4 linked regions of the Alligator mississippiensis genome follow. The protein of the gene in region 2 binds, or shares a complex with, the protein of the main gene of each other region. Links are inferred from orthologs where the notes say so. Each region holds a gene or a part of one and is shown on either strand. Other genes may lie near its edges. The genes, in order: GINS4, CDC45, MCM3 and GINS2.

Evidence for each region.
Region 1: CDC45 (region 2) and GINS4 share a complex: the UniProt entries of both Homo sapiens proteins name them as parts of the CMG helicase complex. The link is inferred for Alligator mississippiensis from reciprocal best matches to the Homo sapiens genes CDC45 and GINS4.
Region 3: CDC45 (region 2) and MCM3 share a complex: the UniProt entries of both Homo sapiens proteins name them as parts of the CMG helicase complex. The link is inferred for Alligator mississippiensis from reciprocal best matches to the Homo sapiens genes CDC45 and MCM3.
Region 4: CDC45 (region 2) and GINS2 share a complex: the UniProt entries of both Homo sapiens proteins name them as parts of the CMG helicase complex. The link is inferred for Alligator mississippiensis from reciprocal best matches to the Homo sapiens genes CDC45 and GINS2.

What each region holds. Positions count from the first base shown.
Region 1 is NC_081830.1:17,399,119-17,406,940, forward strand, and holds GINS4 (DNA replication complex GINS protein SLD5), read right to left. Parts: upstream 2,892-7,822; 5' UTR 2,853-2,891; coding exon 2,748-2,852; intron 2,624-2,747; coding exon 2,537-2,623; intron 2,248-2,536; coding exon 2,134-2,247; intron 1,942-2,133; coding exon 1,844-1,941; intron 1,363-1,843; coding exon 1,274-1,362; intron 1,010-1,273; coding exon 919-1,009; intron 789-918; coding exon 692-788; 3' UTR 516-691; downstream 1-515. Other genes in the region: GOLGA7 (golgin subfamily A member 7), read right to left, coding at 7,460-7,507. UniProt on the Homo sapiens protein: Required for correct functioning of the GINS complex, a complex that plays an essential role in the initiation of DNA replication, and progression of DNA replication forks.
Region 2 is NC_081833.1:14,712,224-14,719,457, forward strand, and holds the start of CDC45 (cell division control protein 45 homolog), read right to left. Parts: upstream 3,018-7,234; 5' UTR 2,870-3,017; coding exon 2,819-2,869; intron 2,021-2,818; coding exon 1,961-2,020; intron 1,675-1,960; coding exon 1,582-1,674; intron 971-1,581; coding exon 833-970; intron 302-832; coding exon 158-301; intron 1-157. Other genes in the region: UFD1 (ubiquitin recognition factor in ER-associated degradation protein 1), read left to right, coding at 3,479-3,481, 5,697-5,829, 6,590-6,622. UniProt on the Homo sapiens protein: Required for initiation of chromosomal DNA replication. Core component of CDC45-MCM-GINS (CMG) helicase, the molecular machine that unwinds template DNA during replication, and around which the replisome is built.
Region 3 is NC_081824.1:9,001,227-9,008,574, reverse strand, and holds the start of MCM3 (DNA replication licensing factor MCM3), read right to left. Parts: upstream 3,006-7,348; 5' UTR 2,965-3,005; coding exon 2,884-2,964; intron 831-2,883; coding exon 718-830; intron 1-717. UniProt on the Homo sapiens protein: Acts as a component of the MCM2-7 complex (MCM complex) which is the replicative helicase essential for 'once per cell cycle' DNA replication initiation and elongation in eukaryotic cells.
Region 4 is NC_081833.1:73,711,565-73,719,057, forward strand, and holds the start of GINS2 (DNA replication complex GINS protein PSF2), read left to right. Parts: upstream 1-4,476; 5' UTR 4,477-4,522; coding exon 4,523-4,612; intron 4,613-5,032; coding exon 5,033-5,147; intron 5,148-5,926; coding exon 5,927-6,026; intron 6,027-7,063; coding exon 7,064-7,190; intron 7,191-7,493. UniProt on the Homo sapiens protein: Required for correct functioning of the GINS complex, a complex that plays an essential role in the initiation of DNA replication, and progression of DNA replication forks.

The sequences.
Region 1 (7,822 bases), on a different chromosome or scaffold from region 2:
GCGGGCGGTGCTGTCCCAGGTGCTGCGAGGGAGGCGGCCGTGCACGTGCGCGTGCCCCGGGAGGGGGGGGCGGTGCATGCCCGTGCGTACACACGTGCGGGCCCCAGCGGGACGCACCACCCGCGCGCCCGGGGGGGGGAGGGGGGGGAGTCGGGCTGTGCCACGTCTCGGGGCGGGGGTGCGCGGCAGGGCCGGGCCATCGCCTCTGAGCGGGGGGGGCGCAACCATAGCCGGGGTGCTGGGGGGGGGGGAAGCAGCCAGGCGCTACCACTGCGCGGGCAACGGCCCCGTGCGGGGGGAGGGGAGCGGCCCGGGGTCACTCACCTGCCGCCGCCGCCGGGCCCGGCCCCGCCCCCGCCACGTGCTGCGTCAGCGCGCCGGGCGAGGCCGCCAGCCAATGGGCAGCGCGGGCGGCGCCCCGCCCCCGGGCCGTGGCGCGCGGCGCCCAGTGTGTGCGTGTGTGCGGGCGCCGCGCGCGGGGCTGGCGGGAAAACGAAGCGGAGCTCGGCCAGCGCTGAGGTGACGTTTTTTATTAAACTAACTTGGTGTTTGCAAAACAAAACAAAATAATAACAATAATAATGATAATAATAGTAATGATGATGTGCAGGCGAGGGCATGGTGCCCAGAGGTCCCTCGGCCCCCTGCAGGGCCCCTGGGTGGCCCCCCAGCGCTGGGGCTTGCTGCTGCCCTAGATGAGCTGCACGGCACCTGAGGCCACGAGGGGCGCGATGGTCTTGTAGCGGATCAAGTGCTGGGAGCCCTCCTCCAGGTCGATGGTGTACTCTCTGCAGGGCGGACACCTGGTCAGAGGCCCGCAGCCACGGAGCATGCAGCAGGCGGTGGCGCCCGCTGGGGTGGCAGGGGTCTGGCCTGGCTGTGCCTACTGGGATGCCCCGAGCCCCTGACCCGCCCCACCTCGGCTCGTCGGTCTCAGGCTCCACCAAGATGTTCTCCTGCCGCTCCAGGACGCGCAGGAACACGAAGGAGTCCAGGTTAGGCTTGGGAACTGCGTGGGAAGCAGGGCGCTGAGGGGCCAGCCCGCCCCTATTGGCCCCTCCGAGCAGTGCTTTCCCCCCACAAGATGCCAGGCAGGCCGGCGGGGGGTTTAGCAGTGTTCCCTTCGTGCACGTCCGTGGCACAGGAGACATGCCGGGGTGGCAGCCCCGTGCCAAGTGCGCACCAGCAGGGCGGTGCTCGGACACGAGCATCTCCCCGGAGCCCCGGCCCCTGGGTGTTGGCAAACTCTGAGGTCACCAACACGCGCCCGTACCAGCCTGGAGGAGATCCACCTTCTGCAGGTTGGGCGGCATGTGCTTCAGTGCCACGCTCTTCAGGTAGCTCTCCGTGTTTGCCATGTACCTGCAACGAGTGGCTCATGGGCACCTCCACCCCTGGCACAACCGGCCCAAGGTGCCAGCAGCCAGCACCACGTATCCCTGGGCCCAGCCGTGCCCACGGGGTCAGGAGCAGCAGCAGCCTGGCTGCCCCAACCGGGCAGTGCCCCATGATGCAGTCCCCCTCGGTGTACCCGCTGCAGTGGGCACAGCCTCCTCCCTTCCCACTGCCAGGGGCTCTGCCCTGGCACAGGGCACTGAGCAGCAGAAGTGATACTGCCTCCCCAACCCCTCTGGGTCACTGGCTTTGCTCAAAGCCCTGGGCCTAGGCAAGGCTCCCGCTGCCTCACGCCAGAGGGAAGTGGCAAGCTGTCCAGGCTGCGGCCTCTCTGCAGTTCGGTGGGCCCCAGGGGACTCGTGGGTGCCAAGGCTGCTCTAGGAAGAGGTATGGTGCATGCCATGAGGAGGAGGTGTGTGCCGGGCTTGCCTGCCCTTGCCCAACTCACTCCTTGGCAAAGGCAAACTCCTCCGGGGACAGGATGGAAGGATCCCCGTCCGCGCGGGACTTCTCCTTCTCCAGGACATGGGGGAAGAACTTCTCGATCTGCCAGGGGAGGAAGACCGTCAGCTGCCACCATCAAAGCTCCCCCAGCCCAGAGTCTGGAGCCCGCTGACAGGACCCATTGCTGCCCAGGCCCGCTCGCAGCAGCACTGAGCCCCCAGCCTCGGGGTGCCTCTCCCCAGCACAGAGCACCGGGAAGGCGGGAGCCCCTGCTCCCTGCCCTCCTGGTGTTACCTTCCCCAGGCGGCAGCGCAGGTAGCTGCTGAGCACATAGCGGATGCGCTCTATCTCCATGCGGTGGATGCCAACCTTCAGGTCCACGCCCTTGACTCGCTTCAGGTTGGACTCCTGCGGGCACAGCACAAGGCGTAACCGCGGGAAAGGGCAGGTCACATGGCTCCGTGGTACGAGGCACCATGTCCCTCCCTGCGTAGGGACCCGGCAGAGGAATCCGAGCGCAGGCCCCAAGTCCAGTGGCACAGGCAGCAGCCAGGAGCGCGGGTGGGCCATTCTCCCTGCCCGCGGGACACTTGCACCTGCTCTGCACGAAGGAACCGGGGCCAGCAGTGGTGCGGACCCTGCAAGGCAGTGCCCACAACAGCGGAGCACTGGGCGACTTCTGCAGGCTGCCACCTACCATGTGCTCCAGCTGCTCCATCACGCACTCCACCACCTCCGCTTTGCTCTCCAGCAGCTCCGGGGCAAACTTCTCGTTCAGCCAGGCCTGGCGGGGGGCAGGGGTGAGCATGGGGCCGGCTCCCGGGTTGGCACCGCTCCCGTCCGGCCCGGAGGTAACCTCGGCGTCCGTCCGCCCCCCGCCCCGCCCCGCCCCGCCCCGCCCCGCCGACCTGCTCCAGGCTGCGGATGAGCTGGGCCGGGGTGAGCACCAGCTCCTCGCTGCCGCCGTCCGAGTCGTGCCCGGCGGGATCGGGGGAGTCCGGGCTCTCCGCCATCCCGGCGACCGAACTCCCGCCAACTGCTGCTGACGTCTAGCGTGACGTGAAGGGGGCGGGGCTTGCATTGTGCATATGCATGAGCCCCGCCCCCGGGCCCGTGCGCGGCTTCCTCCAGCGCTTAAAAGGGCATCGCCTCCCGCTGCCGCTCAACTACCGGGGCCGGGTGGGGGAGAGCGGCTATGTGCACATGCACATGCACATGCACGCAGCTGCACAGGGGCAGAGGCACGGGGCAGGGGCACGGACAGACCGCGATCGGCTGCCCGGGTCCGTGGCTCGCTTTAAGGGGCTGCCCTGTGCGCATCGTTGGGTGTGGGGCGGGCCGAGACACCCTCGGCATGGGCCCCGCCGTCCTCTCCAGCATTTCCCAAGGGAGCAAGGGCCGGGGGCCGCAGCAGGGCCCTTTCCTTTGGGGTGCCCAGTGGAAGGGAAACGTGGAGGAGGGGGTAGTTTTTTGGGGGTAGATATAATCTCTTGTATTACACCTACTGACGAGCAGGAGAGTTTTTTGCAAGCTCTGGGGCACAAACACCCTCCTGGCGGGGCGCTCCACCTCTCCCAGCAGTGCTGCGCGCGGCCCAGGCCAGCTCTGCCCTGCTGTCAGTGTTTGCACCTTGCTTGGGTCACTTAAAATCTCTAGCCTCTGAACAGGCTTCCAGCAGGGGTGGTGCAGTCAGTCGCCGGCTCTGCTGGTCTTTAAGAGGAGGCTGGACAAATACCTTGTGTTGGTTCGAGCCCAATTACGTCCTGCCCATGGCAGGGGACTGGACTTGATGGTCTTATCGGTCCCTTCCAGTCCTTTCTAGGATCCAAAAAAAAAAAAAAAGAGCAATTGGATGGGAGATTTTGTTAGCTCCCAGCCCACTCAGGGAGTTGACTGCTATTGCTGCCAGTCTTGTTTCCTCCTCTGCGTTCCCCTTGCTGGGGAGGGACTGCGCACTAGGATGTGTGTAGGGGAGGAACCTCCCCTTTTCATGAATGGCTCCTTTCCAAACTGAAATATTAGCTCTTATGGAGAGCCCCAGCCTGTAAATACTCTGGCTCAGATTTAGGACCCCTTCAGTGCGAGGGCTTCCCCTGTCTTTCATCAGGGTTGTTGCTGATGCACACAAGCACACCCCTCCGTCCCCAGCTCCAACAAAGAGCATAAAACCCAACCCTACTGCATCAGTCATTGTAGCAGAAACAGAGCAAGGTGTGCACTTTCACATGGCTTAAAGTTGGTTACCAGCCATCACTTTTGTTTAGAGGAAATCAGTACTTTTATTCAGGCCAGTGCTACCAAACAGGACACAGACACAGTATAAGAAAATTTTACTAATCCATTAATAATTCTGCAAAATTATTGCAACAGGTGCAAAAGGCAAATGCACTTTTACATTTTAAGAGAGACAAAGAAAAAGTCTTCTGTACAATTAAAACAGGAAACAGATCTCAAAGAGGAGGGGGAAAAAAAAGAAAGAAGTGGTTGAACAGGAAGCCTGGAATCTCCACTCCAGGATTAGCACCTACAGTATCACTGAAAACTCGACACTCCACCTAGTTGCAGCAGTTGTCTTGTTCTACAAGTCCCACAATGGACAGTGGCTCTCCAACCAGGGGGGCCATGCTAGTTTAACCCAGCCTAAGTAAAGATCTCATGTTATACAGGAGAGGGAGACAACAGAAAATATTAGGCCAATTTTGTTTGGTGGAAGTTTTACTCAGAAGATGCCCAAGGTAGCGTAGCAGGTATTGCTGAGGAATGTTAATTCATGGGAAATACGGCATACTGCACAGCTCTGCTCTTCAGCAGTTTGCCAGCAGCACGAATTAAGAAACCAACTTACACACTATTGAGTAATCCATCAAATCAACATTTTGCTATAAATTATACATAATAAATCCATAGAAACAAAACAGTTCATTACATTTTACATATTAACTTTCAGGGGAGGAGTAGGGATGGCTACATGTATTGGTTCAGCATCCATTTTATTGTACTGACACAGTTGAAGGGAACGAGCAAGACTGTCTCTTCCCGCGAGTGTGGAGAACTCCAGTGACAGCAGTAGATTCCCAGGGCACCAGCAAAGCACCCAGTAACAATACTAGCTATCGGGGGTTAGGAAAAACAACTAAATCATTAGAAAAACCTTTCTGCATTAAATTCCCGGTGAGCGTCAGCTCAGGAACCTGAGACTGCTCTGTGCCTCGAGTCACTTCCTGCTAGGCAGAGGCACTGTGTGCAGTGAGTGTATTGCAGGCTGCTCTGCCCTGCACTGGAGTGTGGGCCTTGTTTCTGGCACAGACTCCCTGACGTCAGACTTGCAGCCTGACGTGTCGGAAGATTTAACTGGTGGGGAGGGAAACAGCTGCTTCCCACTGGGCTGAACTGCCCAGTTCACTTGCTGAAGAGCAACAGCTTTACTTTGCCCATTCCTTGTCCATGGAAACGAACAAGATGATCCCATTGCTTAAAGCTTGCCACAGGCCACAAAATGGATGCTGACCAGCCAGAAGTTTAGAAAGTTAGTCTTGGTAAGTAGATGGCACCACAGGTCTGGCAGCAGAGAGGAATGATGCTCTAGAGAGGAGGTAGGGGAACGCTCTGATGCGGCAAGTCCACTGCTGAGCCGGGGGCTGGAAAACAAAGAGAATTGGAGCAGGTTAGGAGCCAGCACTGCAGAGAACCACACAAGACGCCTTTGCACAGGCCTAGCATGTAGCCTAGAGATGCACCCTCTTCCTAGCAGAGCTCTAGTCTCCCACGGTTATGGATTCTCTCTCTAAACTGTGTATGTAACCCGGACCAGCTTCCCGGCCAGCGTAAACAGGCTGTCTGCGACAGTCTGCAGGCTTCAGGTGCAGGGCTTGCACTTGGGAAGGCAGACCCCTGCTTAGGCCCCACTCTGTGTGGAGCTTGCTCCTGGTCTGCCTACAGCTTTGAAAACAAAGTGGTGCTGAACCAAAATATTTGCAATTCATGAAACTATCCAGAAGTTCCTAATGTAAATCTTTTCCAGTATGAGAAGGTTCACAGTTGTTTGAACACGGATAGAGCAGGCTCATGTGTGAGTGTCCTCAAAACCCGCATCATCTCGGAAAAACATTCCAGTTTGCAGTAATCGCCATTAAATGAGTCGTGACAAAAGGGTTGTGCCAAATAGATGCAGCTGCAACTGATAAAACATAACCTTGTTCCAATGGCAGCAAGCATAAGCCACGAACTTGATCGAGTTCCTGACTGCTAACAGCCAGAGAAGTCAGATAGGACGTTCTAATCAGAAGTGGAATCAACTGTTACAGTATTTTGATAGTGCAGAACTTGTCAGCAATACATGTTCAGCAGCAAGAGTCTCAGGCCTTTCTGTCCAGAAAACTCTTGTCCTGGCTGAGTCAGAGAGACGGTACATCTGGATTAGTCATGACCAAGTAATTACCAAGAGGCAGTTCTATAGGCACCTAGCAAAGCCCAGAGGAGGTCTGTGGCATTTCTCCCCTTCATTGATATGCCAGGCTGCGTACAACCTGATTTTTTTGTTTTTGTTTGCAGTGTTCCTACTAAGGCACAAAGCAGCTTATTTGCTGGCACATTGTGTGCCCTGCGCCCAAGAGATTTACAAATATGAGGTGCCACGACTTCATTTTAGATGCAAGAGGGAAATGGCAGGTGAATTCAGCCACCTCTAGAGTGGAAGGCAGCTGTAGCCGAGCAGTGGAAGTGAATACTTCATCAGGCTGAAAGCAAAATGGAAACAAAGGGAAGGGAGAACAGAATGACTCAGTCTGGGGTTCTGCCAGAAGCGTAATCCCAGTACCCCGACTCCTATGGAAAGCATTAGAGGATCCTTAATGCACCCCAAGTCTTTAGGCTTCAATTTTAGAAACTGCTTTAAAGATGGAAGCTTCAGCGGAGAAGACCTAAGCTCCGGGCTGCAGCACTGGCTCAGCACTGATTCAGAAGGAAAAGCAGCAGTGACTAAGCTACCCATGCCACACCTAACAGCAAAGGGATTTTTCTTGAATGTCTTCCACCCATGTACTGACCTAGCTTGACTCTCTTAGCTTGCGAGACCTGCTGGGGATCTCGCACGCTGTGGACTGCATGGGCTCCCCTGTCATCGCATGCCATTAGCACAAGAGTCATTCCAGGGCCCAAGACAGCTGATGAACCAGTAAGTGACTGAGTTCAAACTTAAGCCTAAAGTCCTGAGCTGCTTCACTTACAGGAGGGAAACCTGAGCAGAATCAGAATTCGTGGGTCTATCCAACCTGTGAGATAATGATTTCTGACACAGTACAGCAGAAATCAGATTTAAGATTATACATGTTTACATAATTAAAATCTGGATTTCATCAATGTGAAATCTGGCATCATCTGAAGTGCATTACCATTCAGGAGCACGCTGCCAAGTATTGATATTTTTACATCTTCCGCTGGGATTTAAAGATTTCATCCACACAGAAGATTTATTTAAAGAGCCTTATGATTACATGCAGCGGTTGGATAAACATTCTGTCTCGGCAGGGGAGGGGAAAGTTTATGTCTTCTGAATGCACAGAAGCCGGTTATAGATTTGACATGTAATGCAAAGTTAATATTTACCTTGGGGTCCGTGGTTTTATCTTCCACTGCTCATACCTCTGTCTTCATAAATGGTGATTTCAATCTGCACAGCACGGCTGTTAAGAAAACGTGCTACAGGAAAAGGAAGACAACTGACAAATGACAAAAACCTAGCTAGCAGAGCCTTTGATCACATCAGCTGTTAGATGAGAAGTGTTGCTAAATTTCTAAACATCCCACACAATTTCTGGTTTTGCATCCTGACTTGCCTTTTAATGAGCATTCACTTAGCCTCAGTGTATGATATTGCTCTGAGGCTGCCAACATTCACACGGGTTGTTTGTACATTAAGCCAAATTTTACTGTAGCCTTTTCCCCTGCTCAGTTACCTTTTACATTTCTATTCACCAAAGTCTAG
Region 2 (7,234 bases):
TTATAACAGGGCTTATTTTACCTTCTGTAACAATCCACTTTGTTTGGGTTTCAAAGGCAAACGACACCAAAGCAATAGTATCAAACTTTCTGTAGAACAGGGTATACATATAAATTTCCACCCTCCCCTGCACAGAACAATGCTGTAAGAAATATACCTCTTCAAATCGTTTGCGCTTCCCCGAAGGTTCTGATCCATCGCTTTCATTCCCAGAATCCTCCTCTTCCTCCTCCTCATCTCTGAAGATGTCATCGTAGGCAGGAATGTTAAGATCATCATCTGGTTTAACCAACAGCTTAATCTAAGAAGAAAAGAAGCATTTTAAAAAAATCAAACCTAAAAACCCCTTTATATTCGACCAACCTAGCAATTTCTATTAGTTGTTCCTCTTAGTACAGAAGACTAATTTACTCACTCTGGAGTTGATCTGTTCCTACTAGGACACCAAGATTTTGCTTTATATGAATTAGGTGATCAACCCAAGTGACAAGCTAGAAGATCTACCTTCTGCCCTTATGAATTAATAAAAATTGAAATGTTTATTCTCCTTTATCAACAAGGTTATATTTATAGCACCAATAACATTGAAGAATGTAGACTTTCAGTGAAAAATATATTTGTTAAAGGGAAGCTGTCTAGCACTGTAGTATAAATCTCTCAGCATTCATAATTTAAAGTTATATTATTTAGTCTCCAACCAATACAATCTAGAAGTAAACTTACTGTGCTGTGGTAAATCACCTTTGTTGCAAGGGATAGAAAAATGATAGCTCACTTACTGGATATTGTGAGCCAATTTAAACTGCATATCATCTTAGACAATTGGATTTACCTGCATATCATTGTAAACATTCACTACATTGATAGGCCTGCGGGAGTCACAAACAAAGAAAAAGGTGTCCTCCTCAGGCTGCAGAACCTCCAGTAGGTCAATGTTGGCACCACAGTTTATAAGAACAAAATACTTGAACTGCAAAAGAAAACAAGGCATCTCCAATTTAATAGGTTACATGGGAGAATAAAACCAAGAAATTATCAGAACTATTCTACCTCCAAAGTATTTAACTTTGTACACAGTTATGTTTCAGGCAGCTTGGTTAAGGAAACTGAGGGGAAAAAAATAAAGGCCGTTTTTATAGAAGGATAATGTACTTTTAGTTTTCATTGTACAGACAACGAATGCTCACAACTTTCTCAGTTGAAGATGGATACAAATTCAGTTTATAAAAATCAAAACTTGATCTAAACCACACACAGACTGGGGCAACTGCAAGTTTTACTTCAAAAGAAATTCTGTAACTGAAACAGCAGAAGCATTTGCTGAATTTTTGCTAAAGTTTGCTAAATTAGGTGAGACTGTGGCACATGACAAGAACAGGATATGGGAAATATGCCAAGCATTTGTCCATCATCCACCTAACTTTATTCAGTATTATTTTAGCTAACCACAAAAATATCAACCTAAGAACCTAGAAGTGAACTGGGGGTGAAAAAAAGGACACTTCAAATTACAGATAAGTAGGAGGCAATGTTACATACACACATCTCTCATTAGGTGAGGTTTTTTGTTGTTTTTTTTACCTGATCTTTATGTTCAAGAAATGCAGTTTCAAGTTCCTGCCACCCAGACACTGGAACTAATGTGTACTGTACATGGTCACATTGAAACAATGCCTAAAAAGAAGCAAACAAGAAATGTTTTGCTAATGAAGAAAATTAGTAACAATTACTATATTTCTGAAAAATACTCCCATGCAAGACTTTGAATAGGAATTATCATGAAATCCCAGCATCATAACTGGTAGGACGAAAAAGGGTTAAGCATAAATAAAACACTGAATGTTTAAAACTAAAGTTAACACTTCCCTCTCACGTTCCTTTCCACACTTCTTTATTAAACTCTTTCCCATACATTTTCTTCTGTTAGCAGTATATAAAATAAGGACAAACATTCACTTACTTGGAGTATTTTACACGCACATAATGCATCTACATCTGAAGCAACGAGAAGAAGAACACGCTGCAAAACATTAGAAAACAGCATTAATACGTGATACTCGATGCGTGCCCCACAGTCATTTCCAACAACTTCAGTGTCTACGCCTAAGACTGAAAATCTTTCAAGTCAAATCAGGACTGGCGGTAGAGGTGATATCAAACAAGCGCATGAATGCAAACAGTGGGAATGAGAGCATGAGCCCGTCTAAGGGCTGTAAAAAATAAGGACAGGGGACAAGTCATTATGAAAGAGGGACTGGCCAAAGATCACATGGTACGTTGCACGTTACTGGCTCTTGCTGTTTAATTCAGCCTCTTGGCACAGGCCAGGGGAAACGCACACCGCACCACAGGACACAAACAACCCGCATTTTACACGAGGGTAAAATAATACATTTGCATTGACTTGATAACATGATGCTGGAAAAAAAAAAAAAAAGATCTGGCTTGCAATAACCTGCAAACAGGCAACCCCGCCGCTTTTACAGATCAGCAGGGGCCTAACTAGAAAACCCTGATGCTGAATAACACAAAACGACCGAGAACAGCTGCCGCGGACGGTACCACGTCCAAGCGCGCCGCCGCGAACCCGGCCGCGGACACAGACCGGCATTTCTGGCGTGGGAGAAGGACCCCGCGTGTGCGGCGGGGATCGCGCCACGGAGCAGTAATGGCGTGACACGGACTTCGCGCGTGGGGCCGGTTTTCATCCATCGCGCCATAAACGTAACGTGCCCGAAGGAGCCGCCGGGAGCGCGCCGCGCCGCGCCGCCCGCTCAGGGAATCAGAGACCCCGGGGCGGCCCCGCAGCGGATCCCACCTGGGTGGTGATGACCTCATAGAACTCCCTGCGCACGTCGGACAGGAACATGGTCCCGGTGTCCGTGTCCGTGTCCGTCTCGCTGCCGGCGCCTGCCCGCTGCACTCAAACCAGGCGCCAAATCACGTCTGTCCCTATTGGCCTCGGCTCCCGCCCCGCAAGCCCGCCCTCCGCAGTGCTGATTGGCTCGGGCAGCCGATTCCTTAGTGCCTCTGCCAATCGCCGTGGGCGAAGCTGATCACGTGACCAAAACAACCCGGGGGACTGGAAGAGCGGCCATTTTATTTATCCGTGCCTTGCCCCTTCCGCCATCTTTAGTGTGGGCAGGGCACTGTTCCCGCCTCTTAGAACCCCCCCGAGAAAAGCCCGGGGCATTACAAAAAATATGCAGTCAAGTAAGAGCAGAAATGGGAAAAACAAAATCGGCGAAACGTTGTTGAGGTCGAGTCGGGCGCGGTTCTTCCTTCCGCCCTCACTCAAAATGGCGGACATGAAGGCTTTTTGTGCCTTTCCAGCCGCGCGGCATTGTGGGAAGTGTAGTGCGGACGGGCAGGGGCTCGAGCGTCTAAGGAGTTCCGCGGGTGACGTTTCGGCGTAGCCTGACTTGCCCGGGCACTCGCGGACACCTCAGCCGCAGGAGCCGGAGCCGCGGTCGCCACGATGGTGAGCGCGGGGCCGGGCCGGGCCGGGCCGGGGCGGCGCTGCCGAGTCATCCTGGGCGGGAGGCGCCGCCGCCCCTCGGCCCGGCCGCAGCCTTTCTCGCTCGGGGGCAGCCGAGGCTCGGCGGAGCCTCCCCCCCCGGCTCGGCGGGGAAAGGGGTGAAGGGGAAAAGGCTCCAAAAAGAGCCCCTTCCCCTCCCGGAGCGCGCGCCCGCGGCCCTACTCAGGCTCCTCGCTCGCGGCCTTGCCTCCTTCCCGGCCTCCCCTGGGAGGGGCCGGGCCGGGCCGGGGGAGACCACCCTGCCTACAGTGGGGGACAGTGCCTGGCAGGGTAGATTTGCACCTTAGAGACTAACTCATAGATCTAGATCTATAGATAAATAGGTAGCTGTAGCTCTCTCAATACATAAAGCATACAGACATCTAGAGAGTGAGAGATTTCCAGATATACACACACACACACACACACACACACACACACTGTTTATATATATTATATTATAATCAATATAGATAGATATATAGAGAGATTGATATGTGTGTATATAAATATAGATATGTATAAATATAGATATACATATATAAATATAGATATATGTATGTGTGTGCATGTATGTGTGTGTGTATATATATATATTCACACACACAGAAACATATATCTATGTGTATAAAGATATATAGATATCTATCTGTCTAGCTATAGATCTTGGGGGGGGGGGGCACAAAGAGTTACTTCACAAGCTTTGGTGAGTTTCAGCTCATCATCATTATCAGATGATGATGTGATGAAACCTCTGATGAAGTGAGCTCCGGCTCCCAAAGGCTTGTGCCTCTCAACAGTAATTTAGTTTATAAGGTGCCAGATCTGCTCTGCCTTCTGCTTGACTTCAGTCTAATGTGGCTTAACCACATCTCTGCTAAAGGAGGGCAGTGCCCGGGGTTGGGTCTGAACGAGTGAAATTCTTTCACCAACATTTAAGGCTTATGTCTGCGTGTTTTCCCATAGAGAGATGACGATGCATAAACTGAGCCTGAAGGCTATGGGCCTAGCAGTGTTAGTGTGGAGCACTTACAATGGTTATTTCTAATTTCTTCAGTTTAGAAGTGTGGCTGAGAACTTGATATTAAATCCAGAAAGAGGTAAAAGTTGTTCAGCTTTTTCACTGAGTATCCAGTTAGTATTTTGATTTGTAAAAGAAACAAAGAGAAGAATTTTTCAGGATATGGGAAGCTGTTAAACCTGGTACCCCACATTGTCTGAGCTTGAAGAATGGGGAAAAATGGTTAAAATGGCTAGTCTTTCCTAACAGCGCCCTACACTTCATTTTCTAAGTATTATTTGAACTGTCCCAGAAAATGAGCCTTTTGCTACTTGCTTAACTTTATTAATTACTCTTCATATAATTATTATTGTAATTATCCTGTATTATTGCTAGTGTCTTTAGGAAGCAATCATTAAAACTACAGTCTTGGAAATGTTTAAGTACATGCTTAACTTTATGCAGCTGAGTAGCTACACTGAATTTAATAGAATAATGTGTGTATGGAAACTGAAGCATGTGCATAACTCGCTCGTTTGAGGTCTGAAGTTTTACCATCTGCATTATTTTTTCCAAGTTGTTCATATTTTATTTTTGTTGATCCATCTTTTAATCTGTTTTCTAATACCTTTTTAAGTTGTGTGTGGCACTCTGGAAACGTAATGCAGTGTTCATCATTTTATCAGATGTTCAATTTCTTAATGTAGCTGGTCAGGATTAGTGTTCTTTTCATGAACTTGATGTACATTTGCAAAGCTGCTGGTCCTGTGATGAATAATGTAGAAGAAATTGTAGCCACTTTATTCCTTGTTGATTGTACACTGATAGATCTGTACAGCATACTGCTACAGCACTGTACAAATCAATGATCTCTAGCATGTATATTTTTAACTTGGAACTGAAGTCTGTTCTGCTTTAGTTTGTAAAAACAGTCAAATTGCAATTGTGGAAATAATTCATAGCTGAATTTCCACTATCCTATTTCATAAGTTCATTGGTACATGCATGTAACTAATCTTTGTGTTGTATTTTTATGTGTACCTTTCTTGAACATATTAGGTCTCAGGAAAAATAAGTACACATTATTTATCACAATGGCTTTGGCTTGATGAACAACTGGCTGGAAATCTTAGTATGATGGTGGCTGCTAATATTCGTCATTTTTTTTTCTTCCTCTAGTTTTCTTTTAACATGTTTGATCATCCAATACCCCGAGTTTTCCAGAACCGTTTCTCAACTCAATATCGTTGCTTCTCAGTGTCCATGCTTGCAGGACCTAATGACAGGTCAGATGTGGAGAAAGGCGGGAAGAGTATGTGCATGTTTTATTTTGAATACTACATTGTTGAAGGTTACATGTGAATGATAATGTTCATTAGTATTGTTTATAGAAAGTGGTTGGAGAAACAGTGTTAGGCCCCGAGCATAAAAGCACATGTGTATGTGTTGGTTTTGTGGCTTGAGTAACAAGGGCACTGTATAACTCAAAATCATGTTTTCCAACACTAGTATAAGTTAACTGATGCTGGGGTTGTTACTAATTTACGTAGAGATAAATTGGGAAAGATCTACTATTTATTTTTTTCACAAAAGTTTTTCCTTATCCCTAATAATGTGTCATGTAAACTTCATAAGCTTTAAAAATCTTTTCCTCTATTACTTTCTTGATAGCTCACTCAGTTTGATCAAAGAAAATAGATATACCCGCTTTACTTTCAGGCTGTCATGTCAGTCCTGTCTCATGATGTTTGAGTTGTCCCCATTTCAGAAGAATGAATGAATCCAACCAAAAAAAAATTACTTGTGGAAAGCATATTTATTAATATTAAGTCCCATAAAACTTTTATATTCTCCTTTCACCTGTGTCTCCAAAATAAAATATACATTTTGGGCTAGTGAATATTGTTTGTCTAGATTAACTTCTTTTGTAATTTGAAAAATTACTTTTCTGAAGTCAGTACCACTGTGATGTGCTGCCTGACAAAAAGGAAAGATAAGGCTGTATACTATATTGTCTTCCATAGCTGTGCTGTTCCTAATCTTACTTTACCTTTTTTGTTTAATTTCTGCAGTAATTATGCCACCGTCTGCTTTGGATCAATTGAGTAAGTAATTTTTATTCTGCAGTTAAAAACATCAGACAATAAGGCTGTGATAAATGCTTAGTCAAGTAACAGACTTGCATATTCTTTAAGGTCTGGTTTAAATCAAGACATGCCGGGCGATCCCATATTGAAACAAAACATTTTAGACAATACATCCAGCAAAAGATAATAAATACGAAGTCATTTGTTTTTGTCTACATGTTGCTCAAATGATAGGCAGACTGTAAAATTTCCAACAGCTGCTTGACCATAATGTGAATGTTTATATTTATGAAGTAATTTATCCTCCTTTACATTTATGCTTACAAATAACTCCATTTATTTGCTGGCTCGGTTTTACTGGGCAATGAGAATTCACAAAGTTAATTTGAAAGGCAGAAAAAGGATGGTCATTCAACAAAATGAGGCGTTTGTTCCCTTTATTTAGTTCTCCCAGAAGACAGGTGTTTTGACCATTTTTGTTCTTTTTTCTAGCTAAGGGCTCTTATCTTTTCCTTAGTACAGTACACCACTTGTCTAGAGAAACTCTAATGCACTATCCAACTGAAGATTATAAGTCATATTCTGTAGCTGATTGAAGCTAGAACAGAACAATGTTTCAGTGCTAGTACA
Region 3 (7,348 bases), on a different chromosome or scaffold from region 2:
GAAGATGGCCCCACAGCCATGCGAGTTCAACCTGGCTAAAGCCTCCTTCCTTGTCTGAGAGATGCAAGTACATAAGAAAGGCATACCTGATGTGCCAAGGAGATCTTGGGTCTAAGTTAACCAAGGAAAAGTATAAGCTCCCCTTAAAAAGGGAGGTCATTATGGGCACATCAGCTGATTTCTTGGGACAAATAAAGAAAACAGGGAGGGAAGTGAGGTCAGGGGTTAACAAGGGAGCTGGACGGAGCTACCCAGGAAAGTTCACCGACCATGGCCCGCTGCTTCCTGAAATGAGTTGAGTGCAAGTGCAGAAAACAAGAAGCACACGTGTTGCACCTCACCTTCAAAGACAACCCTTTTTTGCCACTGAAAAGACAGCCTTGGACAGAGGGAGGGAGAACAGCTTAACCCTTTGGCCTGTCTGCAAAGTTTTCTACCAGGAGAGCCAACAGATTTCCCAGCTTCCTCTCTGCATATCTCCAGTTGTTGGGATGCTGGAGAGGTTCGACAAACACTTGACTGGGTCAGATAGGGATGATCCTACCTCGAGCAGGAAGTTGGACACAATGACCTCCTGAGGTCCCTCCCAGCCCTCCTTTTCTATGATCCTATAGCACTTGGGATGCCTTTCCCCATGTCACTTCTAAACCCAACATGCAGAGGACAGCACTGTGCAGTTGGAGGGATGCTCCGATCCTTTTTGCAGGCCACACGTACCGGCTGGCCCGCTTCTCATTCTTCCTCCGCAGGTCGTTGACACTGACGATCAGCCGATACTGGTTGTCGCTGATCATGTCCCGGACTTTGCCTTGATAAACACCCTGATCCTCCTGCAAAAGACACAAGGCGAGAGCGTGGTCCAGCTTAAACGGCAATGTGCTTGATTCCAGAAACCTGCAGTGGTTTTGCCAGCCCCAAACTGCCACCAATCCCCAAATGCCCTGGTGGTTAGGAAGGGCCAGGATTATGAACACGCGCTCAACTCCCTCCCCTATACTCTATATGCACCCCCCAAAATCCTTAGTTGATTAACTATATGCAACTGTGCTGGTGTCATTCCTCCCTTAAAGCAGTGCAATGTTGTGTTCAGCTTAGATCAATGATTCTCAACCACGGTGCTGCAGCGCCATGGGGTGCGCCTTGTGCTTTTTTTAAGGGTGCCACACAAGCTTAGCACTGTTCAGAGGCACATCCAGGGGGGGTGCAGTGTCCTCCACTTTTTCTTCTTGCTCCAGCCAAGGTTTAAAACAAGCTGCCTGGTAGTGACAGCAGCATTTCTAGTCAAGCAGCGCTGAGGGACCCAATTGATTTCATGGCTCATTATATTCTACCTGATTTCTTCTAAACTCTTCTTCCACAGGTGTTAACGACCCTCTTTTTTAATGGTCTTGATAGTCCACCAACCAAGCTACCCTTTGCTCTGCAATTGTGGAGCTGCTCCTGCTAACAGAGCCCTTCTTTCACAGCCCTGCAGGCTGTTTTTAACTCCTTCCAATGCAGTTACATTTGTTCTTGCTAAACTGAATAATACAGCCTTGGGCCCTGAGCATATTCATAAAGTTTCTTTTTCCCTGGAGAAAATTGTGTGCGATGTTATACAGGATGACACCACCACCTGCACCCCCTTTTCAAAATCCTAGATCCACCCTTGACATTATCTGCCAACATGATTCATGACATACAAAACTTAAGAGATCTCAAAGAGGAATACAGAACATTGAAAGCACTCTGCCTTGTTGTAGGCTGAGGTCTTTGCAACAGAAAAATGTTTAGTGCAGATCTATGACTATCTGCAGGCAAAAAAAAAAGGTTACAAGAGACAGCCAACTGAGGAGGTGCCTGGAAGGAAATTGCGAACAAACTGCAAACAAAATAAAAAGTGTTATTATACCCCTTTACAAACCCATGCTGTGTCCACACCTTGAATACCGTGCCCAGTTCTGGGACCCTCACCATAAAAAGGTGATAGAAGAGCTAGAGACAGCCCAGAAACGGGCAACAAGGATGACTGATGAGTGGCATGGAGGGGCTTTCATATGAGGAGAGACTAAAGAAGCCAGGCTCAGTTTAGAAAGGAGATGCTTGGGGGGGGAGGGGGGGGATTTACAAAATACTAAATGGTGAAGAGAAAGTCAATAGGGATTTGCTATCTCACCATACAAGAGCTGGGGGGGGGGGGGGGGGGGGTCACAAAATGAAAGTAGCAAGTTTGCAGCCACAAAAAGGAAGTTACTTTTCACCCCGTATGTAACTCAAGCGTGGACTTGTTGCCCCCAGATGTAGGAGATGAGTTTTACCAGATTCAAAAAGGGACCGGACCCCCGTTTGGAGCAAAGGGACCTGGGCAGGGGGGTTAGTGGGGTGGGGGGGCTCAGACTCAGGCCTTCCTGGACCGGAAATGCTGGAGGCTGCAAGTGAGGAAGGAAGAGTGTGGGGGGGGGGGACAAAAACCCCGGTCAGACCCAGTTCACTCTCCCGTCCAGCATCCAGTGCGATACAGGCCTACGTCATGCAAACAGTTAACATGAATTTGACTCCCCCAGAGCAGTGGCTAGCCCCCACATTATTAGGGGGGATACTGGGTGCCCACCAATTAATTTGGGGGGGTCAACTACAGAGAAAACAGGGATGGGAGTAAGGTCATGAGTCCAAGGAGCCTGTGGACACTGCCCAGTGCAACTCTGCTCTGAGAGGAGGGACAGGAAAGGGGCCCCGCAGACTCCAGGGTCCTCCCGACAGGAGCCTCCTTCCTGGGCAGAGATCACAAATGTCGCCAGGGCCAAGAGGGGGGTGATCAGGAGGGCCCAGGTCTTGCTGGGGGCTGGAAGAATTAATTTAGAGGTGGTAATTAACGAAGCGGACCCCTGCAAAGACGCTCCCCACCTCATCATCCAGGAAATCCAGGTAGTCCCGCTGCGCCTCCCGCAGCTCCGCATCCTCCAGCCCGGCCGCGGGGAGCGCCATGCTGCCGTTTCCCGCGCGCTGCGACCGGCTCCGCCCCCTGGCGCCAAAACTCGATACATTTTCCCGCCAGACGCCAAAGTTCCGCCTGCTCCCATTGGCCAGCCCGGGAGCCACCGGCCAATGGGAGAGAAAGCCGGCCGGGCAGCCAACATTCCAGCGCTGCAGCCAATCAGCGCGCGCGGAACGTTAAGTCGCTGGGGCAGGGTTCGGCCACACGATGGAGCGAGGGGCATTGTGGGATGTGTAGTCTTCGCCCTATCCTCCATTAAGCTCAATGGACGCTGCGCAGAGACGGGGTGTTGCATGCTGGGAGTTGTGGTCCTGGCAAGGTGCATGCTGGGAGAAGCAGGCCCTGGATGGGTCGTCCTGGGGCAGGGATTCATGGAGGCATAGCATCTGGCTTGTGGGGCTCCGCATGGAGCAGCAAATTTGGCAGCGGGGGAGTGGTGGTCATCTATACCACTTCCTCCTGCCAAATTCCCAAACCCCAAGCCCTGCACACCTTGCCTGCCGGCTTGAAACCAGTCCACACCCCCTGCTTCCAAAAAGCTGGGCCATGCAACCTCCTCCCTGGGCCAGATTGGGGCTGGGTCACATCCCTGCCCCATCATGTGAAGCCCCCTTCGCACCCCTGAAGGGCTGGGCTCAGGCCCCCCTCTGCGTGGTCAAGTAGTGGCTGCCATGCTGGACCCGGGCACTGGATTGGAACCAGTATCCCCCCAGTTCATACCAATCTGACCAGGGGGTAAAGTTCCTGCCTGACCCCAAATCCATCTGACCCTGAGCGGAGGGGCCAGACCCTCCGTCCAGGAACCTCTGGCTTGATGTCCCACCAGGAGCACTGGCACAACCCAGTCAACCTCCCCAGCACTGGCTGCAGTCAACACCGATGCCTCTGAATGATGGCTTAAAAACACCCGGATGCATTTGTTGCATTTTGTTTTATTTATTGTAATTGCCCTTAGGAAGGAAGGAAGGATTGTTTTCAGTGGACGTGCATCTCTCCTAGCACAACAGATCTCTGGTGCTGGACTGGGAAGTCTAGGCTTTTATAAAAGGAAGCAGCGGTGATGAGGATGGCATGAATAAACATCCATGCAGGATATTATCGGCTGTGTAACACAGTCCGTCAGAGGTCTCGTTCACATTTCATCCCGCTAGAGGGAGCAGATCCCCTTCAAAGCAGTGAGCACGTGGGTTGCCTGCCTGAACAAATGAGTGGGCACCACAAAGGTATCTGGTTTCTTTGCCAGGTTACATATCAGCATCAGGTCTGCCTGGAGACTGCTGAGATCTGCTTCACAGCCGGTGTCACCCTGAATCCTGGAGGGTATTCATGCCACTCCTTTGTTCCTCTAACCGCTGCTGCCTTTCGTTCCACATTGGATTGAATGTCCTGCTTTTCGTTTTCCAAGGTTTCCATGCTCCTGCCCCTCCTTCCCCTCCTCTTTATCTCAGCTTCTCTTCTCTTCCCTTGGTTTAAACGAAGTAGTGGAGCTTGACCAGTGTAAAACTGGAGTAAATGGAGAACTTCTTGCCAAGTACCTATATTCAGATGCTGAGTTACATCAATTCTGCAGCCTGCGCTTCATGTCCATCTTGCTTCCTCTCTTGCTGCTCTGTATAGCTGGAAACTTTCTGCCCTACACAAGGAGGGTTACAAAGAGGATGGAGCTGGACTGTCCTCAGTGGTAGCAGATGGCAGAACAAATGCAATGGGCTCAAGTTGCAGCAAGAGAGGTTTAGGTCAGATATTAGGAAAAACTCTCTCACTAGGAACAAGTTACCCAGAGAGACTGTGGATTCTCCATTCTTGGAGGTGTTTAAGACCTGGATAGACAAAGCCTTGGCTGGGATGATCTACTTGGGGCTGGTCCTGCTTGGAGCAGGGAGTTGGACGATGTGACATCCTGAGGTCCCTTCAACCCTCATTTTCTCTGAGTCTATGCTCTGAAGCCTCCTTCACCCTCTTTCCCCTTTCATCCCTCCTCAACCCCGTCCCTTTCCCTGATCTCTCTTAGGACGGGATTCATTCTCCTCTTCCTAGCAGTAACTTCAATGGGGCTGCACTCATGTTACTGGAAGGAGAAGCAGGCCTGGGGTCTTAGACTCCCAAGCTGATCTTTGCAATTCGAGACTAATGGGCTGTAAAAGTAACATGTAACACAAGTGAATTCACGATGTCAGTGCATCTTCCCTCCTTGATCCTCTATGGTGCCTCCAGCCTAGGGCCGGAGCTGACCCAGGGTGGAAGATGACTGGGACAGTGCATCTGAACCTGGTTCTCCATATGTTGCATGCTGCAGTATTGTAAATGTGTGCACAGGCTTGGTCAAAAGAAAATGTCCCTGAATCAGAATAGAAACAGTGCAAGTATTCCTACCAACCGTCTGATGGCGGAGAACCAGTACCATCAAAATATACTGAATCAGGACCATTGAGTAGATTCTGGTCTCTGCCTCTGGCACTTCTGTTGATGCAGCAGACAGAAAGCTGCTGTAATGAGCTTGCTGCAGATTTCTTTATATAAGGAAATCTCCCAGGTGACATGATCCCAGCACCGGTGACTATACACTTGCTCCTGGTCCTGATCGCGGAGAGGACATATTTAAAGTGTGTAGGCATAACGCGTTGACCAGGCTGAGTGGAAAGCCACAGAAGGCTATTCCAGCCAATTCAAGTAAGAGCATCTATATGAGGCTACCTTGCCTTGGGTGGACACCTCATCTTGCTCTGAGCAGCCTGCAGGATCAGAGGGGATAGAAAGCTCTGGTTCCCCTAAGGAGCTGACCCCAAGTCCTTATCTCTGGCAAGTCCCATGCACACCTAGGGTCCTGGATACCCACACGGTAGAACAGTAGCAGCAACAATAGAAAGACTAATGCTTCCACAGATGCTCCTATGAGTTTACCACTGATAGCAATAACAGCAGACCGAGCCATACAATTTTATAGCTGAGAAACCAAGAAGTGCCAAATGGGGTCTGTGCAGGAGACCAAACACACAGGAATAAGTTGAAGTGTGTGTGTGTGTGTGTGTGTGTGTGTGTGTGTGTGTGTGTGTGTGTGTGTGTGTGTGTGTGTGTGTGTGTGTGTACAGAAAAATCGCAAAACCTGGAACGAATTGATGGGTGCTGTAAAAGCAAAGGACAGGCATTTGTTAGGACGACACATGAGCAGACAAGACAATGAGATGCTTGTTATTTGGCTGGAGGATTTAGTTGCAAGAGGACATTTGGGACAGTTTAGAAACATTATCTGACCCTGACATTAACTGCCAGTGCTGTTCCTCTCTTTGCAACAGATAATACATTGTGGCCTGATACACGTGAGAATGAATGGATCGAGCCTTCATTATCAGCCAAAAAACATAGGAGCGTCCGATGAAGCAGGGAGTCAGCAGGCAGTCCACTGTATTAGAAGCCACTTCACGGTGCATCTGTGGGGTTACAGTATGGCCCCTAAACCCACACATGCAGTACACAAGCCATGGCTTGACCTGGGCTTTGCCATATAGGCTTGGTACTGTAGCAATAGTTGCTGTGCTAGATGTAGGCTTGTGTAGGCTTGACCTGGGCTTTGCTATATACTGCTTTTCCCCTTGTGTGCAGTTTTTATTATTGTCTGTGCAAAGAGAGCATGAGAGAAGGGAAGGCTGTGCATCCTGATTTAGTACAACTGTCCTCTGCTGGTTGGCACTGAAATGGCTCTATTATGTACCCTAAGTCCTGTATTGCTAACAGCGGGCGCATCTACATGTGGCAATTTAAGGCACGTTAGAAATTTTTAGGGTTCATTAAGGGCATGGGTCTACACGTGTGTGCCCTTAATCCACCTTAAAAATGGCAATTTTAAGCTATTCACGCCTACATTTGATACCTGCAAAAGTGAAAGCAGATTCATGCACGTGTAGACAGAGCATTGACACACGCGTGTGACATACACAGCAATGTGCACATGGCATATACAGCATTAAGGTGCATTAACACTGTGTATGTCGACTGATTCTGGACTAAATTTAATCTCAAATTGGTCCACACACTGCATTAATGCACATTAGTGTGTGTGCATGTGTAGACGCACACCTAAATCACCTTAATGCACATTAAGCAAATGTGCATTAAGTTTAGGTGCACGTAAAAGCATGCCCAGCGAGTCTCATTTACCTCTAGTGGCTGGTGGCTTCTGCTTTGAGCTTGCAGCCTGGCTATCCCCAGCACAGCGGTGTGGAACTGTAAATCCCTCGTGCTTGCATTTTTGTTAGGATAGGAAGAGCAAACCCTTCCCCACCCCAGTGGGCATACACGTGGGCAGGGTGGCGGAGATCCTGAGAAGTCAAAAGAAACTATGGCTCCAGGCCTCCAGGTAACAAGAGGTAGGGTTAA
Region 4 (7,493 bases), about 59 Mb from region 2:
AGTGTGGGGCCCTGGGCAGTCACCCGGTTTGCCCTCCCCTGATCACAGAAATGGAGAAACTTGCATCTAGTCCACCCCTGCTCTGAGGCGGGATCAAGGATCCTGATATGCTTGTCCAAACAATTCTCAGAGCCCTAGGGTGGAGGAGATGTCCCGGGGCAGGCTGCTCCAGTGCTTAACAACCCTCTACATTAGAAAGCCCTTCCCAATATCTAACCTAAATCTTCCTCGGTGTAGTTTTAGACAATTTCTTGTCCTAACCCCTGTGACAACCCCTAAAGGAGCCCTGGATAGATGGCAGCCCACTGCGTAACTCTTTGGAGCAAAAAGGCATCACGGGTACCCCAAGGCAGGGGATGTAGAACAGCAGCAGTGTGCCTTTGAGCTGGGGAAAGCCTGCAGGCTGAGGAAGCAGCATTATCAGCAGCCAAGCTGGCTCCTGAATTAAAGGTCAGGATGAATGTGTGACAGAAGGTGCTTATCAGGCACAGACATCTCCAGGCCTACCAGCCTTTGCAGGGCTGCCCCTGCCTACCACCAGTTAACCAGCAGGAACCAGGTTCAGGCTGCAATGGCAGGTTTAAACAGGTTCATGGAGACCCAGGTGGATATGAAGACCTGAACAGCCTCCCTTTCTCCCTTTACACACAGAAGGCTATTTGCACAGGAGGCATGTGAAAGCCGGCTTCAGGGGTGTGGAAGGGAAGTGCAAATCAAGCTGTTGTGGCATTTGAGGCTGGAAATGGACCCGAAACTGAACTTCACCAGTGAACGATGGAGCATTTCAAAGGTAGAGACAGGCTGCTTGCTCTTCCAGCTGTTTCAACCAGCCTGTCTGGCTTTTCTACGTGATGAAGCTGCTGGGCCTGAGAGAGGAGCCCTTCAGAGACTTGTCTGCATTAGGGGTTTTTGTGCTGTCTTTTTCTCTCCCTGCAGAGGGTCGGCCAGGATGCAATGGGTTTAAACTGTAGCAAAGCAGGTTGAGACGAAATTTCAGAGAAAAGTGTCATTACTGTCGGAACATCAGGACAGCGGTGCAAACTGCTGGGGGAGGCTGTAGCATCTCCATCCTTGGAAATTTTCAGGAAGGGGATGGATAAGCATTTAATACGGATGGTTTAGGAAGAGCGCATTGTGCCTCTGTGCTGGGGGCTGGACTGGATGACCCCGGAGGTCCTATTCAATTCGATCAGTCTATTATTTTCCCAGGAGCAGCCACTTTGATGAGCATTTCCAACTGCAGACATCTCTCTTGGTCTATTTCTGGAGGAGCAGAGCAGTTCAGTGCTTTCATTATGGGGTCTAATGAAGGGCAGGGGCTGCTATGAATTCCAATCTTGGTTGCTGCCGTGGAGCGAGCTCGACCTGCTGGCACAAATCTACTGCACTGGTATATAGCAAGGGAGCTGGGAATGCCTTAAGTCCCACTAAAACCTGGTTTTAATAGCCCTCTTCAGCAGAGTGTATTTAGAGCTAGCAGAACCCAGGGCAATGCTTACCCAGCAGATTTCTCGTGTCACGGAGATGACAAGATTTGCTCCTGTAAGACAGCTGTTGTTTTTTTTTTTAAGCTGTCAAGATCAGAGCTGCTCAAAACCTGCGGATCACAGACACTGATGGTTTGCCTGACGCGGCTGCTTTTTGCTTCCGGGGGAATTTGAAGCCCAAGATCTGGAATATAACAGGGGAATTTGCACCTCCCGAGTTATGTTCCAGATTTTGGGCTTCAGACTGAGAAATGTCAAAAACCCAGCTCAGGTGACATGAGGCAGTTCTGGCGCTGAAAGCAGGACTCTTGCACTAGAAATGGTGGCGAGGTGGTAGAAAAACAGCTAGCAAAGGTTTCCAAAACCACATTCATGTCCCGAATTTGTGCTGCCAGCTTCCCCAAATGTAAACACTCACAGTGGTCAGTGTCTCTCCTAAAACTGAGCTCCTGGAGTCATGAGACTGCTCAGTTTCCCTTTGAAACCCATGGGATGTTTTTAACCCTCCTAGTAGTGGATAAAATCTGGACAAATGTGAGGTCTGAAGTCTCAAAAGCTAGAGGGGGAATAACAAGGACTGCAATAAGATATTTGTGAAAAACCTTTTCATTTTCAATTGATGCTCAAGATTTAAAGGGGACCAGGTAAGGATGTTTTCCAAGTGGGTGATCCCACTGACTCCAAGCTAGGCAATAATTGGTGCCTTTGATGTTCACCAGGGATGCAAAGAGGTGAATAGGGGTGGAAATCTAAATTGCCTTCACCCCTCCAGAGGTAGCTACCAGCCCTTCTACTCCTCATGTTATTGCTGTTCTGCCAATATGCAGAGTTGCCCCCCAGAGTCACCCGTCTGGCACTTCTCACAAACACAAAACTCACTTAATTAAAAAAAGAAAGGGTGTGGGATAGGGAAGCCATTTGGGAGCCATAACAGATTAATCAATACAAATCAATCAATAGGAACTATTGGCAGCTGCCGCTGGGAAGACAGCACTTAGATTTGAGGGTTGTTTTTTTTTTATGGACGGGTAAAGTGGAGAGAGAGGAAATCAGATCCAGACATAACAAGGCCTTTGAATGACAGCCGGAAAATAGGATTATTATCATCACCGCAACTTGGGTACTATCATTTTCCTTTTTTATTCATGCAATGCAGAGTGGTTTGAGTCTCAATTCTAGAGGCCCCGATCTGAGCAAGAGAGTGGTTTGGGGCAGGGATGAGATGGCAAGAGGAAAGAAAAGGGCTCCCTGGGAAAGACTTTTTTGGGGGGTGGAGGGGTGACGGGGACTATACGCCGCATTCGGAGCCTTTTTATTTATCCTGTTGCATCGGGGTTGCTGCCCGTGCTGGGACAAGCTGGAGGCAAGGCAAAGAAATAGATGGTGTTTTGAACAGGATCACAAAAACACACCATTAAATAGACCTGTCACTGCTAATATTGTTTGAAGGCTTTCTGTTTCCATGACGACCTGACATCCTAACAGCCTGGCTGACGGCACTCTAAATCACTCCTGGATAAAAGCTTTTATTTTATTCCCCCCCCCCCCGTGCATAACTTTGGACATTAACATCTTCGATGTGTCTTGACGGGTTTTTGTTGCTGTTGTTATGCTTCATCTTAAATCCGTCCCGGTAGCTGAGTGTTTGGGGGTGGCTTGTCTTTTTAATTAACAAGCAACGTCTGGGTCAGAGGTAGAAAAATACCTCTTGCGAACACTTCTGGGCTGTAATGCCTGCACAATGCTCAACAGTGGTTCGGCAGATGGGTTGCTGTTTGTCAAGCTGATCCGTGTCAACGCCTTGTGTCCCCATTTACTCCACACACCTGGCTGTTGTGCCCACCTGTTGCCTATGGGCTTGCACTTGGATGATCAGCTTCGTGCCACGTATTTGGAAGAGGCACAGGCGGCAGGGCCTTGGCCTCTACCAGGGCCGCACACGGGCACGGGCGGACAGAAAGGGGGCCTGAAAACGGTCATTTTAATTATCGTTATTAGCGTTACCTCTGGCGAAGCGGGGTTTGATACTAAAAGTTCGCCCCAGGGCCGCCAGGAGTCTCGGTACGGTGCCTTGACCGCTCGTAATAAATACTACGAATACATTCATGAATTAAAGTCCACCCTCTCTGACCCTAGGCCAGGCCGCTGTGGGAAAAACCAGGGAACAACGTTGCAAAGCTGCGGTTAAACAAACACAAGGCGCGTCTACACGTTCACTAATGCGCAGTAGTTTAGTCCTCGCTTCATGGAGGACAGGCAACCCCCCCCCCCCCCCCCCTTGGTGCTCATCCGCTACAGCGCTCGTTTTAAACGGATACAATTAGCACTCGGCGAGTCTCGTTATAATGCTCAGGTCGTTAAAAACTCTCGCGGTCGCCGTGTCGGATGGTTAAAAAAAATTTGGAGAGTCCCCCCCCACAACCTCCCGCCAGCCGGGGGGGGGGGGGGGGGGGGGGCACCTTTTAGCCACATTTGGGGACACCCTCCAGACAGGATTGGTGTGATATGGCCGTGAGGGCGGAGGCGTGACAGACCCCCCCCCCATAATGAATTGGGCTAACCTAATTAATTGGGTTAATTGCTGGCATGGAGGGGGACTCAAGCCCCCCACCACTCCTCAGGCTGAGGAGATGTGGGGGTGCTTCCCCCCCCGGAGGACTCTCCCCTGAAGTACAAGGTCTATGACACATGGCGGGTGGAGAGGAGGGAAGCACCATGGCAACTCCCGCGCCTTCTCCACACTTCGCCCCGCCCGCGCGCCCAGGGAGAGCGCTGATTGGTCGATGCCTCCTCAGGGAGAGCCGCGATTAGCTGGAAGGCTCCCCGGCCCCGCCCTCAGAAGCCGCGCCTCAGCCAATCCTCGAGCGCAGGAGGGAGCCAACCCGCGGGCACCGCGCGAGACAAGCAGCCAATCGGGGGCGCTTTGGGGTTGGAGTCCAAGGGAGGGGGCGGGGCTTCCCGCGCGGCCAGCCAATAGGAGGGGCTCCCCGGGCGGTTCCGGTTCCGGTACCGGTTCCGCCCGCCCGGCGCCGGGAATGGACCCGGCCGAGGCCGAGTTCCTGGCCGAGAAGGAGCTGGTCACCGTCGTGCCCAACTTCAGCCTGGACCGCATCTACCTCATCGGGGTGCGCCGGGCCCGGGCTTGTGGGAGGGGCCAGACGGGGCGCCAGAAGAGAGGGGGCGGGGAAGTGTGGGCGGGGCCAGGGGAGGGACAGGGCAGATTATGGGGGCGGGGCCAAACTCGCGGGAGGGACCAGAAGAGAGGGGGCGGGGCCAGTCTTGGGGGAGGAAAAGGGGCGGAGTCAGAGGGCGGGGTGGATTAGGGGCGGGGCCAGAGGGAGGCATTTTGGGGGCGGGCCTTGTGAGAGGGGCCAGAGGGGAGGGGTTGAGACAATGAGGGACAGAGGAGGTGGGAGAGGTCAGCTGGGAGGGCGTGGCCAGAGGGGTGGGCGTGGCCAGCAGGGATATTGAGGGGTCCCCCCCCTCCCAGGGGTGCCCTAGCAGGGCCTGGCCCCAAGCAGCCCCTGACCCTGTGGCTCTTGCAGGGAGATCTGGGTCCCTTTAACCCAGGGCTGCCCGTGGAGGTGCCGCTCTGGCTGGCCATTAACCTGAAGCAGAGGCAGAAGTGTCGCCTGATCCCTCCCGCATGGATGGACGTGGGTAAGGAGACCGCCCGCTCCGAGCTGGGAGCTGGTCCGTGGGGACGTCCTGCAACGCTCCTTCCCCTCCTTTAATGGGGAAATCCCTGGAGCGAGTGAAGGGGGCGCAGGGCCAGCCCCATCCTCGCTCCCTGTGCCTTGCTTTGGGAAGATGGGGATGCCACCTGCTTTCCTGAGCACCATCGCTGGCGTGTCGCGGGCTCGGGCGTTAATTGCTCCGTCACCTCCCTGTAGCACCTTCCCCGCGGGCTGCGTCCCGAGGGAAGGGTGCCTGTGGAGCGCGGAGGCGCTCTCATTTACTCGGGATCGTGCGATCCCGCGGGGCATCGGGAATAGAAGCAGCCCTGACACCACGCAGCAATGTTGCTGGGTGGAATAAGGGCCTGAGCTCCCTCCGGTTCAGCCAGCGTGCGGCTGAGAGCAGGGACAGGGACGGTGCCTCGGTGCTGCTCCTCTCGCTGTCCGACCTCCCTCTGCGCTCCCGAGGGCACAGAATTGATGAGCCAAGATCAACTTGGCAGAAAGGTCCCCTTGAGGCCTTCTCCCAGCATGCGGAGCTGACTGCCAGTGCCTCTTGCCCTCGTTTTGGGTTGAAGGGAGTTACTTTCTGCCTGATGAGCTAGGGCTCCCATGGTAAAGCTGCCAAGGGTACCAGGACAGTCTCCCCTCTTGCAGGAGCCGTCTCCACCTGGTCCAAGGGGGCTGCTTCTGCTGGGAGGAGATAAATCCAGAGCTGTGGAGCATCTGGCAAAAGCCTGACTGTCCCCAAATGTGTTTCAGAAAAGCTGGAGGCCATCCGGGATCAGGAGCGCAAGGAGGACACCTTTACCCCGATGCCCAGTCCCTACTACATGGAGCTCACCAAGCTGCTCTTAAACCAGTAAGTCGCTTCCTTGTGGCCAGGTGGAAGTACTTTCTTCCCTGGGGAAATACCCAGGAATATGATGCTGAAAAACTAGTGAGGTTATAGGGGATGGAGTTGCAGACCCACAGGGAAGCGTCCTACGCAGAGCACGTCAGGGTTTTGCTAGAGCACTCGGTTTATCGCAGCCGTTGGATCTGTTCACCCGGTGTCACTGGTTACGAAGTCTGATCAGGGCTCCCGTGCTCTGTCGAGGGGCGGCTGAGTGTACTGACCTTGGGCGGAGAGGCCACACGCTCTGGCTTTGTGCAGACCCTCGATTGCTGCCGGAGGCCCAGCAGCCTAATCCTTCCCAGTCTGCTGCCTTCGTGCTGTCCTTTCCTAGCCCGGTACACGCAGGTCAGGGATATCCCATGCAGGACTCGCGTCCCCTGAAACATTTCCATTGCACACAGTCTGCTGGCCAGTAATTTACTGAGCACAGACTCTTCTCTCCTCAAGCCCCTGCTCACGGTCACTTGAAGCACTAATTGCTTCCTCCTGAGATCTCAGCAGATCCCATCATTGCATTACAATAACCTGTGGCTGTGTTCGTGTGAGCTGCTTGGATCTCTGGAGGTCTGTGGGGCTGTGCCAATGGGTCCAGCTCACTTGGTCCCAAAAGCTGTGGGGTCGGTAATGAGAGCACAGTGCCGACCTCTAGCTCTCATCACAGCCAAGCCATTTAAATTGGCTGTTTCTGTGTGGCTTTGGCCAGGTTATTGTACCTCCTTGGCCTCAGACCAGCTGGGCTCTCACAGAGCAGAAGGACTATGCTGCCAACCAGATGCTGCTGCAGAGTTCAGATTTCCTGGGTAAATAAACGATCCTGAAAAAGCCCCGGCAGCAGCAGCACCAGCTTGGCTTTTAGTGCTGAGTTCCTTTTTTTTTTCATAAAGCAAACTGCTCTGCTTATGCCTCCGAGGTTTGAGAAGCTGCCAACATGACTTATGCCAGTGACTTAATGTATTAGTCCCTTGCAGCCTGTTCTGATCCGCGCTCTCCTCCTCCTCCAGCGCCTCAGACAACATCCCAAGAGCAGATGAAATCCGAACGCTGGTGAAGGATACCTGGGACACGCGCATCGCAAAGCTGCGGCTGTCTGCGGACAGCTTCGTCAGGCAGCAGGAAGCCCATGCCAAGGTACGGGGTGGACCGATAGGCTTGCTAGTCCCTTCCACGGGTGGCCAAGGTGCACTGTGATTGTGCAGGTCTTTGGCCGATCAGAGCCACAGACAGACGTGCCAGGAGTGGCTCTTTCTCCCGCTGCAATAGGAGCATCTGTCAGTCAAGAACTAAAGCCATATGCTTAAGCTTCCGTTTACGGCCAGGCTGCAGCTCCGTTTGCATGATGACAGCGGCACCGTTGTCACGTTCCTCTCTGCTGGGCCTGCCCCTTGGGATGCAGCCAGAGGGCATATGCACCTCTTCATTGTTCAAGCGGCT